3 linked regions of the Mus musculus genome follow. The protein of the gene in region 1 purifies or fractionates together with the protein of each later gene. This does not show direct contact. Links are inferred from orthologs where the notes say so. Each region holds a gene or a part of one and is shown on either strand. Other genes may lie near its edges.

Region 1 (4,381 bases):
TGGTGCCCTCCGGGTGGCAGCCTGAAGAAGAGGTGGAGCCGCTGCCCCGTTCTAGTCTTGAGCTGGAGTCTAGGGAGAAGGAGCAGAAGAGCACATGAGTAGAAGCCTGCAGTCCACATGCAGGCTTAGTGGCTCAGTGCTCTCCCTGCCCCCTCACCCTCAGCTTGTACTGCGGCCTCCATAGCCTCTAGCCTCTGCAAGTCCCTCAGCCGCTCCTCCAGCAGCCTCTTCTGTTGCTTCCTTTTGCGCCTCATCTTCTTCCTCTTGTTTTTGGACAGCTTGCCAATCTGCTGTCAGAGTCAGGGTCACACCCCCTCCCCATGTTTTCTTGTCCAGCCCTGAACCCCAGAACTAACCCCCATGGGTATCAGACTATGGATGCTATCTTCTGTCTCACCCTTATTCCCAACCCCTGACCCATTTCTCTGCCTCTCCTCCTATCCCCCTCCTACCTTGTGCTTTGGGGAGAACCTAGTGGGCCTGCTCTACACTGTTCCTTGTCTACTCCCAGACCTAGATGAAGCTGCCTGAAGTAGCCATGTGGGGTATCACAGTATCCTTCCATTGAGGTAGTGCTGGGCTCATTGGCGACCAGAGGCAGCTTGGAGCACATGATCCACTCTGTCTAATCACTCTCTTCTCAGGTACTCAGCTTTTTAGAAGTTCAAAAGGTAGAACAGGTATGGCTGAGGATCCAAGCTCTGAGGACATGGCCTCATCTAGCTTGTATTGGAAGAGGAGACAGGGAAAGAGGGGGTACCACAACTTACCAAGACCTCCTGGGGGGCAGTGCTGACTGGATGTAAGGGGTAGGGAGAGAAAAAAGAACAGTAATTCAGGTAGAGATTGAGGTCCAGAGTCCTGGTATCAGTCCCCACACATGCTCTTGGTACCTGTGGAACGGGATGGGGGCTGGGCCCCTGACTGCTGCCACTCTGTGGCTTCAGCAGCCAGGCGCCTGATGTAGGCATCTCCAACACACAGTAAGATGTTCTCAGGCTTGATGTCCGTATGGATGATCTTGCACTTAGTATGGAGGTAATCCAGACCATGCAGCACCTGGCAAAAGCTACAGCTGAATCCCAGCAGCCAGGCCTAGCCAACCTGAGCAGTGTAGGGGCAGCACCTACCTGTCTAACAATGCTCTTAACACAGGGCACAGGCAGACCCTGGTAGTTGGATTTGATGATCCACTTGAGGAGCTGGTGGCCCAGGACCTCTAGCACCATGCATACATCTGGACCTGGAGTGAAGGGCAGTCAACAACACAGCTAAGGCACAGGCTTACCTACCCTCCATCATGGAGGAGCACTTAGACTCCAGAAATGCAGAGGTTAGGGAAGTAGGGCTTTCCCTTGACCATCCTGGTGGCCACCACTGACCAAGTTTATTATTTAGAATGTTTCTGTCACTGTCACGGATATGCCAGTCGAGATGGTACCTCTTGTCATCCTACAGATATCTCACTCCAGCTTTACTCTTCTGCCCAAGTAGGCCTCAAAAGTAGCCTTTTATATTTGGGAGTCACTCAGCAGATAATCACAGTCAACCTAATTACCTGTGTTCCCCCTACTCAGAAACACAAGTGCCCAAAGGGATGAAGTTGTTTTATAGGCTCTTCCCGCAAGGGCTAAATCCCATGATGCAATGTGGATCTTTGACTGCCATATTGCTCGTTCTGCAAAGGATACGGACTCCATTTACTCCTGAGATCCTGAAGTCATCGATAAGTTGAACAATGGTCTCCCTTTTGGGGTCACTAGGGTCACTGTCCCTGACCTGAAACAAAAGGCAAGGAGCCACAGATGACTCCAACCTGCTCCTCAACACTGCTCTGCTCATATCCCCTGAAGCACTTCTATCCCCCTTTCCCAGTCCAGCTGGGGCCCACTTGAAGAAAGCCAGCTGCCTCTGCTCTCCGGGTCCTTTTACTTGGCAGAGTCAGCTGGAGCCTGTCCCCTCTGGGAGCCCCGCCCCACTCTGTAGAGCCCCAGCAGGCCCTGCATTCACATTGCCAGGCCCAAGGCAGTTCAAGGGGCTGGGAGCAGTAGGGGAGGTGCCTTACACATTTCAGGAGCTTGATCTCATCCACGGCTGTCTCAGTGTAATGTCCTGCACTCTTCACCACTTTCAGGGCCACAAAGCGCTTGCGCCTGTAATATGGAGACCCTCATAGGCTGCCAGACCTTGCCAGAGTCACATGTTCTCACGGTGGTGGTCTTAACCAAACCCATAGGCAGATCCCAGCTACTCACTGAATATCCCAGCAGAGCCAGACTGTAGAGAAATGGCCCCAGCCTAGCTTTCGCACCACATGGTACCGCCCATTGAACAAATCACCGATCTTCACTGGGTAGTAACCACCTGCAGAAGGGAACCAAAAGATCAGAGTAGGGCATCTCTCCCTTATACCTCAATATCAATGTCCTGCTGGTCATCTATCTCACGTGGGCCTAGTCTTGGCAACTTTTTACTCTCAAGCTGTCCTGAGCCCTTGCAGTGGCAATCCGGCTGGCCACATGCAGCCAGGGCCAGGCCTTACCCTTGCAATAGTCCTTAGGGTCTTCCTGTTCCTCATCATCAGAGCCCAGGAGTCCCTGCAGCAAACGAGGTGCTGGTGTGGCTGGAGTTAATTCAGAGCCTGAGGACTCAGGCCCACAGGAAGTCTGAGAGCTGTGGGTGAAGGAGGAGGATGCAGACAGTGAGCTCACAGGGAGCAGGGGACCCCAGTCTCCCCAGCCTGGTCATACCTGCTGCTGCTGCCGCCACAATCCACACTACCACTACCACCGGCATTGGCACTCATCCTGATGTCGCAGCCCAAAGCTCTGGTGCACTGGACCGCTGTTCCTGTGGGGCCCAGCCGTGGCCAGTGCATTTATAGCTTCTGCCGCTGATCTCACTCGCCTTTATAAATAGCCTCCCAGCTGCTCAGCTGTGGGCAAGGTATGCAGAACAGGGAGGGGGTAGTGCACTGATGGCAGCCTGGAGAGTCCAGCCCCTAAGCCAAACACCCCTGCTCTGTTTTCACCCACACTCTAGAGACAGAGGGAGCCATCAAGCTGGGGTTATGATAGCAACTCTGTCCCTAGGCTGATTCCCCACAGTGTAGGACTAGCCAAGGAAGACCTCTGCATGGAGATGGAGCAGTCTGGAGTTCCTGTACTCTAAGGTTGTAGGGAGGGGAGGCTCCTATGAAAGAATGAAGTTGATATGATGACCAGGTCCTTTGGCTGAGCTCTCTCCAAATGTTGCAGGGTACTTGATGCATTCTGGAACTTCCCACTTAACCCATATAAGTGTCCTTTTAGAGGTGACCCCCACCAATCCCACCTAAACCCCATGCTCTGCTCAATCTCAACCCTGATCCCAGCTCTTTTGTAACTCATAGACGCACCCCCTAGGCAGGTGGGAGCCCAGACCTCCCCTCTATGTGGCTGAGCAGGGGTCAAAGGCAAGAGTTAAAGGCAACTCATTCCTCCCATTAGAGGCAAAAGGCTCATCAGATTTACATAACACACCCTAGCTCTAGAGCTGACCACTTCTGCCTTGCTGTCCCCATCAACATTTGCAGGTTCCCATTTAGGCCAACTCTGCCATGTCCACCAGGAGAAGAAAAAACACACAGTTATTGCCCATGAGCTAGTTGGTAACTGAGGGATCCTGTGCATCTTGAGTGACCAGAAAGCATTAAGTCCCCAGAAGCACTCAGGATATACTGTGCCAGCATGCTACAGAATACTAGGACCTGGGAAAACAACTGAGACCCTATCTGGAGTCTATGGGTGTCACTGGAGAGAGAGTTCCAGAAAAGTAGACAAGTACTTTTGCTCTTTTGGGCTTTCTAAAGTTGGTAAGGTGATGCCTAGTACTTAATAAACCAGTTGTGGTGGAATGTGCCTGTACTCTCAATACTCAAGAAGTACTCAGAAGTTCCAGGTTATGCTCAGCTACATAGCAAGTTTAAGGCCAGCCTGGAATGCATGAAACCCTATCTTTAAAAATAAAAACCACCTGGAGAGATGGCTCAGTGGTTAAGAATACTGGCAACTATTGTCCAAGTTCAATTCCCAAGACCCATGTGGCAGCTCACATGTCTACAACTCTAGTTCCCAGAGGATTGACACCCTCTTCTGGCCTTCCTGGCCACCAGACACAACAAGGAGTATATAGACATACATGCAGGCAAAACATTCATGTACGTAAAATTAAAACAGAATGAGATGAGAGTATGAGAGAGACTAATTGTTTTTAGATGAGAATAAAGGGGCAAAAGTGAAGATAGGAGACTAGCCAGAAACTTCTGAATAAAGTGGAGGGGGCTTGGCAGTGGCAGTACTTATCTCAAGGTAGGAGACACTTTGTCCGGTGTCCTATGATA
Region 2 (4,017 bases), on another chromosome or scaffold:
ACCAGGCTGGCCTCGATCTCAGAAATCTGCCTGCCTCTGCCTCCCAAGTGCTGGGATTAAAGGCTTTCGACACTGCATCTCTTAGCCTATCAGCCAATCAATCAGACAGAGGACTCCAAAGAAATGAAAATTTCCCCAGAATTCTCATGCTGGGAGAAGAAAAAGGTACCAGCCAGAGGGGAAACTTGTCTCCTGGAAAAAGATTTCAGAGTTCTAAAAGCTTGTCAGACCACCTTACAGGATGAGACTAAAACCCAGATAATAATGGGCCAATGGTGGGCAGAGTCATACCTTGGTAAGGACTACTCAGATGTATTTATCCTTGGCCCTCTATCTAAATTTTTTATCTAAATTTAGAACCCTGAGGTCAAATTTGGGTGATTCACAGAATCTCTTTGCCCCTCTTTCTAGTATGACTACATTGAATAAATCTCCTTTTTCTAAAGATTTCCAGTTTTTAATGTGTCTCTTTCAATTGGCTTATTGAGGATAAGGTAGCTAGACCTGACTTCGGGCACAGGTTGTGAACCCCCAACATTGACAACAAGCAGTCAAGGTTTTCTGGGCCACAGACCTGACACTTTGCTGATTAACTGAAACTGTTCAAAGATGAGAACCACCTATTGCATACTTGGGCCCACTAGTAGAGAAGAGGAAGTGAAAAGAATGGGAACGTTTGAGACAACTCAAAAACTGAAGATTTCCCACTCAGGAAGACCACCAGGACCTTCCCCTTTGTTACACAGCGCAAAGCTACTGTGCTACAAAAGATAAAAGAAAAGGCGATGTTTGCGGGCCCAGCAGTTCCAGAACAAGTTAGCGCGCTGATTCGGCTCTGCCTACAAACTCCCTCCGCCTTTTTCCAACCTCTTCTCTCAAGAAAAAAAAAATTATTTTTATATGTGTGTGTGTGTGTGTGTGTGTGTGTGTGTGTGTGTGTGTGTGTGTGTATGTATAATATACCCCCACCCCATCCCCTTGCAAGAACTCGCAGTTTGCAAAAAACGCATCGCAGAAACCAAGCAACTAAACTCTGTAACTGAGCTCATGCACAACACGCATGCGTCTACTAAGCCCAGCCTCCCGGGACCGACTTCATCCCCGGCTCCGCCTACCCACGGGTCTCTCTACCGCAAGTGCGCTTCCTGCCCGGTACGGAAATGGACGAGTCTGACGTCATATGAAGGCGCCGACAGTTCCGAAGGCTACAGAGGCTACACGTGAGCCATGGATACGCCGCTGAGGCGCAGCCGGCGGCTGGAAGGCCTAAAACCTCTGTCTCCAGAAAACCTTCCTGTCCCCGAAGTCTCTCGGGCGAAACGGGCTCTTGTAGATTTCAAGTCGAACTCAGAAGAAACAGGAGAGCTCAAGTCTACGAGAGTTCCACCACTGAGCCTTCCGTCTCCCGGACCTCAGCCGGAGACGAGCCCCGGATCGCCCTGTCCACCACTGAGCCTTCCGTCTCCCGGACCTCAGCCGGAGACGAGCCCCGGATCGCCCTGTCCACCACTGAGCCTTCCGTCTCCCGGACCTCAGCCGGAGACGAGCCCCGGATCGCCCTGTCCACCACTGAGCCTTCCGTCTCCCGGACCTCAGCCAGAGACGAGCCCCGGATCGCCCTGTCCACCACTGAGCCTTCCGTCTCCCGGACCTCAGCCAGAGGCGAGCCCCGGATCACCCGGTCCTAGACAGGATGCAGACGATGGGTCCCCACAAAGGCAGCCAGAGCCTCACCCCGGGTCCCTTCAACCTCATCAAGATCTGGGCCTGGAGTCACCTGCAGGACAGACAGAGTCGAGCCCGGAATCCCCGCAACGAGAGCAGCCATCCAAATTACCTCCCCCACAGGGAGAACTGGACTCTGAGGCGGCCCACGCTAAAGAGGAGGTGATCCCAGGATCCCCCGAGCCTTGCCCGGGCCAGCAAGCACCGGGTCCCGAGCCCTCTCAGCCAGCACAGGAGCTGACGGTCCAGGCACCTAGCTCCCCAGAGCGCCAGTTGGAGCCAGGCAAGCTGCCTCCGGCGGGAGAGACAGTAACAGAAAGTCTCAACCTAAAGAAGCGAGTTATAGCCTCTCCCCAGGCCCCAGCGTCCAAGAAATTGAAAGAGAAGGAGGAGCTTCCTGTAATTCCGAAAGGGAAGCCCAAATCCGGGCGTGTGTGGAAAGACCGCTCCAAGAAGAGGTAAAGTGGGGGTAGCATGGGTGATGTGTTGGGTTCTTAGTACATTTGGACCTTGCCTTCGCCTGAATGCAATCCAAGGGTTGTAAAGAGTTCACCCGAATGAAATTAACAAACACGATCATAATGTCAAAATGCCCTAAGGTCGGGGAGGGAGATAGATCCTCAAAGATCATTTCTTTAATGTCTGCCCTAGACGGTGTTCTTTTGAGCTTTCTTCCCATCCTTTTTTTATTATGAGGCAGGGTCTCACTGTATAGCACTGGCTGTCCTGAAATTCAGAGATACACCTGCTTCTGCTTCCCTAGTGCTGGGTTTATAGACGTGCCACCTTTACCTTGTCCGCCACATCTCGTGTGGCAGGCAGAGCAAGAAAGGCGGCCATTATATGAACATAGTGAGGTCCTTTCCACTGTTGTCTGCTAGCTGTTGTCTTTGATAAAAAATGTATCATGGGACACTGGTTATGTATCACGGTAAGGATGGCCAAAGAGAGAGGCTTTCATAGCCAGCAGCACATGTAATCATCTACCCTTTGGAGCAGGTGTTACTAGGATTGGTGTTGTACATCTGAGGAAGCCAAGGCTCAAGGAGGCTAACTGAGACACGGGATGGGAGCATAGGTTTGATTGCAAAGCGTGTGAGTGAACCCGTTAACCTGCTTCTGGTGGCCAGCTTCCCTTGGGTTCCAGCCTTCTTAAGACATGAGGTCTTCCCTGTCCCTTCAGTGCTGGGGCATGGGAGTGCTCAGTTTAGATTTCTCAGTAAAGGAATGAGGAAGGAGGCTCATGTGGAAAGGACATTGTTTAGGCAGCAGGGGAAGAGAAGTGGCATTCAGTTGAAATGTCCACTGTTGTGACATGGATGGAGACAGTGTCTGTGACAATGTCTGGAGACATTGTGACAGTGTCTGGAGAAGGAGAAGTAGGGTTCAGTTGAAGTGTCAGCTACTGGCCAGAGACAAGAACTCGTAAGAGTAAGGGAGCAGGGCATCAGAGATTTTAAGAAAATGACGTTGAATAAGGGTGGACCGTGCGAGGCTCCGTGCAGGCTCTTTACAGAAGTCATTTTGTTATACTCTTAAATCCTAAGCGCAGGGGATAACCCCTCCCGCAAGCACACCCCATTAAACAGAGGAAAGTGAGGCTTAAAGAGAAAGGCACCAAGCGGAGAAACTTTGAAGCTGTTCCTTTTCCCTGTCCGAGCAAACCACAATACAGGCCACTGATGGCCACGGGTGACCAGCCAGACGGGCTCGCACACAGAAGGGCGCGGTGGCTGAGAGGCTTCCTTGCACAGGCTCGCATAGGCAGTGAGTAATGGGCTCGGAGCCTGTCTTCCATCTCCAGTAACTAGTGCTGAACATCAACTCTGCCTCAGTACTGCAGTCACGAGCCACATTTTTAAGAGTAGAAAGGAAGTCCACAAGGCACCACTGCTCTGTGTTTAGGAAGCTGGGTCTTGAGCCAGCTGGCGAACTTGGCAGGAGAGGAGCATGTTTGTATCACTATTGAACCTTACAGTGGGAAGGGGACAGAAACAGGATGCCTATGGATAAGCCTGGTGCCAGGTTCCAAACTGTGTGTGCCAGACTCCTAGGAAGGAAGCAGGTGGCTCAGAAAGGCCGTATTGACCTTTGTCTGGTCAGCAACAGACTGCCCAGCATGCACCAAGCCTTTAGACACAGGGTTGGCTTGAGCTACCCTATAACAGGCAGGTAAAAAGGAACTCCTACAGGAGTCAAGGTTTTAGTGTAGGAAGCAGAAGGGCCACTGTGAACGGATCTGCTGAGGAGCCTTAGAGTTCTAGGGATAAGATGGGGGAGAAAACAGGCCCA
Region 3 (3,581 bases), on another chromosome or scaffold:
CACAAAAACCCATTTAGAAGTAATTTAATTATGTTTTAAGGTGGGATACAGCTCAATGGCGGAGTGTTTGCTTAGCCTGTGCGGAGACCCGACTTCTATTTTTACCCCTGGCAGATGGAAAAGAAAAAGCTGTTCCATTAAAATCTAAAGTTTTTTCTCCTCGGGAGCAGTGAGATGCCTCAGGGAGTAAAGACACTCACAGCAAAGCCTGATCATCTCAGTGCAACTGCCCGACCCACATGGTACAAGAAAACCACCTCTGACTTCCACAAATGAGGCAGCACACACACAGTGAGTGAGTGAGTGAGTGAGTGTGTGTGTGTGTGTGTGTGTGTGTAGATGCAGTATCTACCTACCCACATGTGGTCACAAAAGCAATAGTATTTTTAAAGTATTCTTTTCTTAGGCTGGGTATTACGGCACACACTTTTAATCTAGCATTCTGAAGGCAGAAGCTGGCAGGTCTGTGAGTTTCAGGCCAGTCAGAACTGAAAAGTGAGGCCCTGTTTCAAAAAAGCAACCCCCCCCCCAAAAAAAACCTTTGTTCTCAAACTATAGTAAGTTATTTTAAAACTACATCAATAAATTTACTTCATATTTTATTTCAATTCCTACTTAAAAAAAAAAAAACCCTCAATACAGAGCTAGTAAGATTAATGTCCAAGAATGCACAAAGACTGTCAATAAAGTCCTAGATGACAGAAAATGTTCTGAGTTAACTTCTAATTTTATTCATTCCGTTACACAGGAAAGGATATGGCACTCATTCTGCAACAGAATGTCTAAACTAACCCATCACATGGTAGAGGAAGGGCCTTGTCAAATTACTGACACACTGTACAGTCCCTGGGTTTGATCTCCAGGAAGACAGAACAACAAAAAGTCTACCAAGTACAAGGAATGTGCTTATTTACTACATGGACATTTTCAACACAATCCAAGTGAATCCTTCTAAACAAGAACGCCTGAACAAATACACCAACGCAACTACAGAGCTCACTTTTTAAAACTGTCATATTCTGATAAAACCACGTTTCCCTAAACACTTTATTCTTGAATACAGACCTAACATTTCAACTTGCCTATTACAAATAAGACAGTTTACACTATCTTAAAACCGCACAGTAAAATTTACCCTATAGATTATAAATAAGATAAATCTTAAGGAAATGGCTAGTCAAATATACCAGTGATTCCTACTATAGAGAAAAAACACCAACACCAACATGGCATCATACCAAAAGAAAATCAATCAATTTTTAATGCTTATTTCACAGCATGAAAAGGTAGTTTATACCTAACCAGACATGATCTAAGCCAGACTAGTTGTTATTTTAAACTGTCTTATGAACCATACTATATACCTAACTCCTATACTTAATAATTTAGTCTTGTGATTAACCACAGATTCTTCATTTTTAATCACCCATTATTTAATCAATTCCAAAAAAGAAATTGTATACAACGAAAGTGCCTCAACCTGCTTTGTACAAACAAGTCAACTTTTAAGCATGGGCTTTAAAACAAAATGTAATGTGGTTTAAAACCAGTAGAGATTTAGTTCAGGATATTGCAGCTTATAAAATTGACACTTCAGAGCTAGAACAATCTGCTGAAGAGCTTACACTGTTCTTACAGCTGCCCATCCTCCAAGTCTGGGGGACCCAAGACTTTCCTCCTCTTGCTTTCCTCAGCCCCAACCACACATGTGTGGCTCAGTACACGCAAACACCCAAATGTACCAAACAAAAATTAAGGGAGGAAAAACACACCAAGAGCTACTTTTTTTTTTTTTTTAACTGCTCACAGGTCTTTATCACTAATGGGGTCCCAAGCTGTCTCTCACTGAGGGTTCCACCAAGCTAGTGTCCTCCTGTCAGGGGGAAGGTCCTGGTGGCCAGGCACCTGGTTTGGAGAAGGACTTCATCCCTCTCTAGGAGTTGCTGGTGTTTGATGTCAGGAAGAAGATGGGGAGGGACACAGGCCATCAACACCCAGACCCCCATGATATCCCAGCTGGGGATGCAGGGTAGTAGGGACTAGGGGTATACCCCAGCCTCAGCAGCCTGAGGGCTTCAGGAATCAGGCTCCTGGTATAGCGCCAGAGAAGTGGCTCTGGGCAAGGGCTCCTGAGTGGTGGCAGGGCTTCGGAAAAAGTCACAGGGGGGCTGCAGTAGTGGTGGTAATTACGTAGGCTGAGTTGGAAGAAATGGGTGGCCATGTTCTCCTCAGACAGGAACTGCCTGTGCAAAGGTTCCCTGGCGTCCAGTCCACGAGTCACCCCAGTGGTGGCCCGTGGGTCCCGATTTGGGGGACCTTGCTCCAGGGGCTGTTGCAGGATCATTATGGCTCCAAGAGCTACTTTTAAACGAGTTATTTACACAACCCTTCAAAGAAAATACACAGAAAAATCCTGACATTGAGTTACAACAAAATTGAATTAAATAAAAAGAAAAATCTTATTTTACCAGTGAAACAAGAACTTCAATGCCCCTGTTTGAGTAGACTATTTTCAAAGACACTATGAAAAAAATAACCTAAAAATAGTGCAATTAACATTCAAATTTTTCAAAAGATTTTTGAAACTGACAGTGAGCGTCAGCTTACCGGGCTTGTACCGCAGCTCCGTATCTAAGACCCCAGAGAGGACCTCCTCTATCTTCTGCACTATTTCTTCATTTGGGAGACTCCTTGCAGAGGCAGCTGTGTCACCTGCCTGGTTCCCTTCAATGGGTGGATTTGTTTCACCATTCAGCTGGCCTTCACTCCTTCCACTTGACAAGAAAAACATTTCAAAGTTCATTAATACTTCCATCATACTATAATAAATCGGTAATTCGACATTAATAACGTAATTAACATGATCTTACATTATATTATGCTACCCATAAGCCTCAAGATTTTCTATTTCAGATGTTTGCCATTAGTACATAAAGTTTCAAGAACTAAGACAGTTAAAGAACTTTTAAAATCAGACGTCCAACTGTGTTTTCAAAATAAGATAAGCTACAAGTGGTGGCCTTTAATCCCAGCCCTCCCTCAGCACTCAGGAGGCAGAGGCAGGAGGATCCCTGTTGAGTTGAAGACCAGCCTGGTTTACATTGAAAGTTCCAGGACAACACAGAAAACCCGTCCCCCATCCACCCCCAAAAAAATAAAGAAAGAAAAAGAAAAAAATATAATTGTTATGATTAAAACAACTTAAAGCTTCCAGTTACCTAAGTAACAATGAGCTAATTCACATTCACAAAGAAAAACAGACGACCAAGCATTATGGTAGAAAGCCACACTGTGCACTGATCACAAACCATCCAGGCAAACACTGTGTAAAGGGCTGCTTGTAGCCTCTTCATATTCAGACTGTAACTGAAATGCTGTAAATTTTAAAAAGAAAACCATGTGCCGGGCGTGGTGGTGCACGCCTTTAATCCCAGCACTAGGGAGGCAGAGGCAAGCGGATTCCAGAGTTCAAGGCCAGCCTGGTCTACAAAGTGAGTTCCAGGACAGCCAGGGCTATGCAGAGAAACCCTGTCTCAAAAAACCAAAAAACAAACAAACAAACAAAAAAAAAAAACTTGTAC

The links.
Region 2: the proteins of Srpk3 (region 1) and Ccdc86 purify together in Homo sapiens (affinity purification with mass spectrometry; 3 studies listed by BioGRID and IntAct, with this or other methods). This does not show direct contact. The link is inferred for Mus musculus from reciprocal best matches to the Homo sapiens genes SRPK3 and CCDC86.
Region 3: the proteins of Srpk3 (region 1) and Son purify together in Homo sapiens (affinity purification with mass spectrometry; 3 studies listed by BioGRID and IntAct, with this or other methods). This does not show direct contact. The link is inferred for Mus musculus from reciprocal best matches to the Homo sapiens genes SRPK3 and SON.

The regions. Positions count from the first base shown.
Region 1 is NC_000086.7:73,772,876-73,777,256, reverse strand, and holds the start of Srpk3 (SRSF protein kinase 3), read right to left. Parts: upstream 2,807-4,381; coding exon 2,751-2,806; intron 2,674-2,750; coding exon 2,543-2,673; intron 2,365-2,542; coding exon 2,256-2,364; intron 2,154-2,255; coding exon 2,066-2,153; intron 1,780-2,065; coding exon 1,692-1,779; intron 1,238-1,691; coding exon 1,131-1,237; intron 1,060-1,130; coding exon 894-1,059; intron 797-893; coding exon 771-796; intron 291-770; coding exon of another isoform or gene 288-290; coding exon 158-287; intron 70-157; coding exon 1-69. UniProt on the Homo sapiens protein: Serine/arginine-rich protein-specific kinase which specifically phosphorylates its substrates at serine residues located in regions rich in arginine/serine dipeptides, known as RS domains.
Region 2 is NC_000085.6:10,946,444-10,950,460, reverse strand, and holds the start of Ccdc86 (coiled-coil domain-containing protein 86), read left to right. Parts: upstream 1-1,194; 5' UTR 1,195-1,227; coding exon 1,228-2,183; intron 2,184-4,017.
Region 3 is NC_000082.6:91,650,823-91,654,403, reverse strand, and holds part of Son (protein SON), read right to left. Parts: intron 2,775-3,581; coding exon 2,608-2,774; exon of another isoform or gene 2,345-2,607; coding exon of another isoform or gene 1,988-2,344; exon of another isoform or gene 1-1,987. Other genes in the region: Gm36712 (host cell factor C1 regulator 1-like protein), read right to left, coding at 1,988-2,344. UniProt on the Homo sapiens protein: RNA-binding protein that acts as a mRNA splicing cofactor by promoting efficient splicing of transcripts that possess weak splice sites.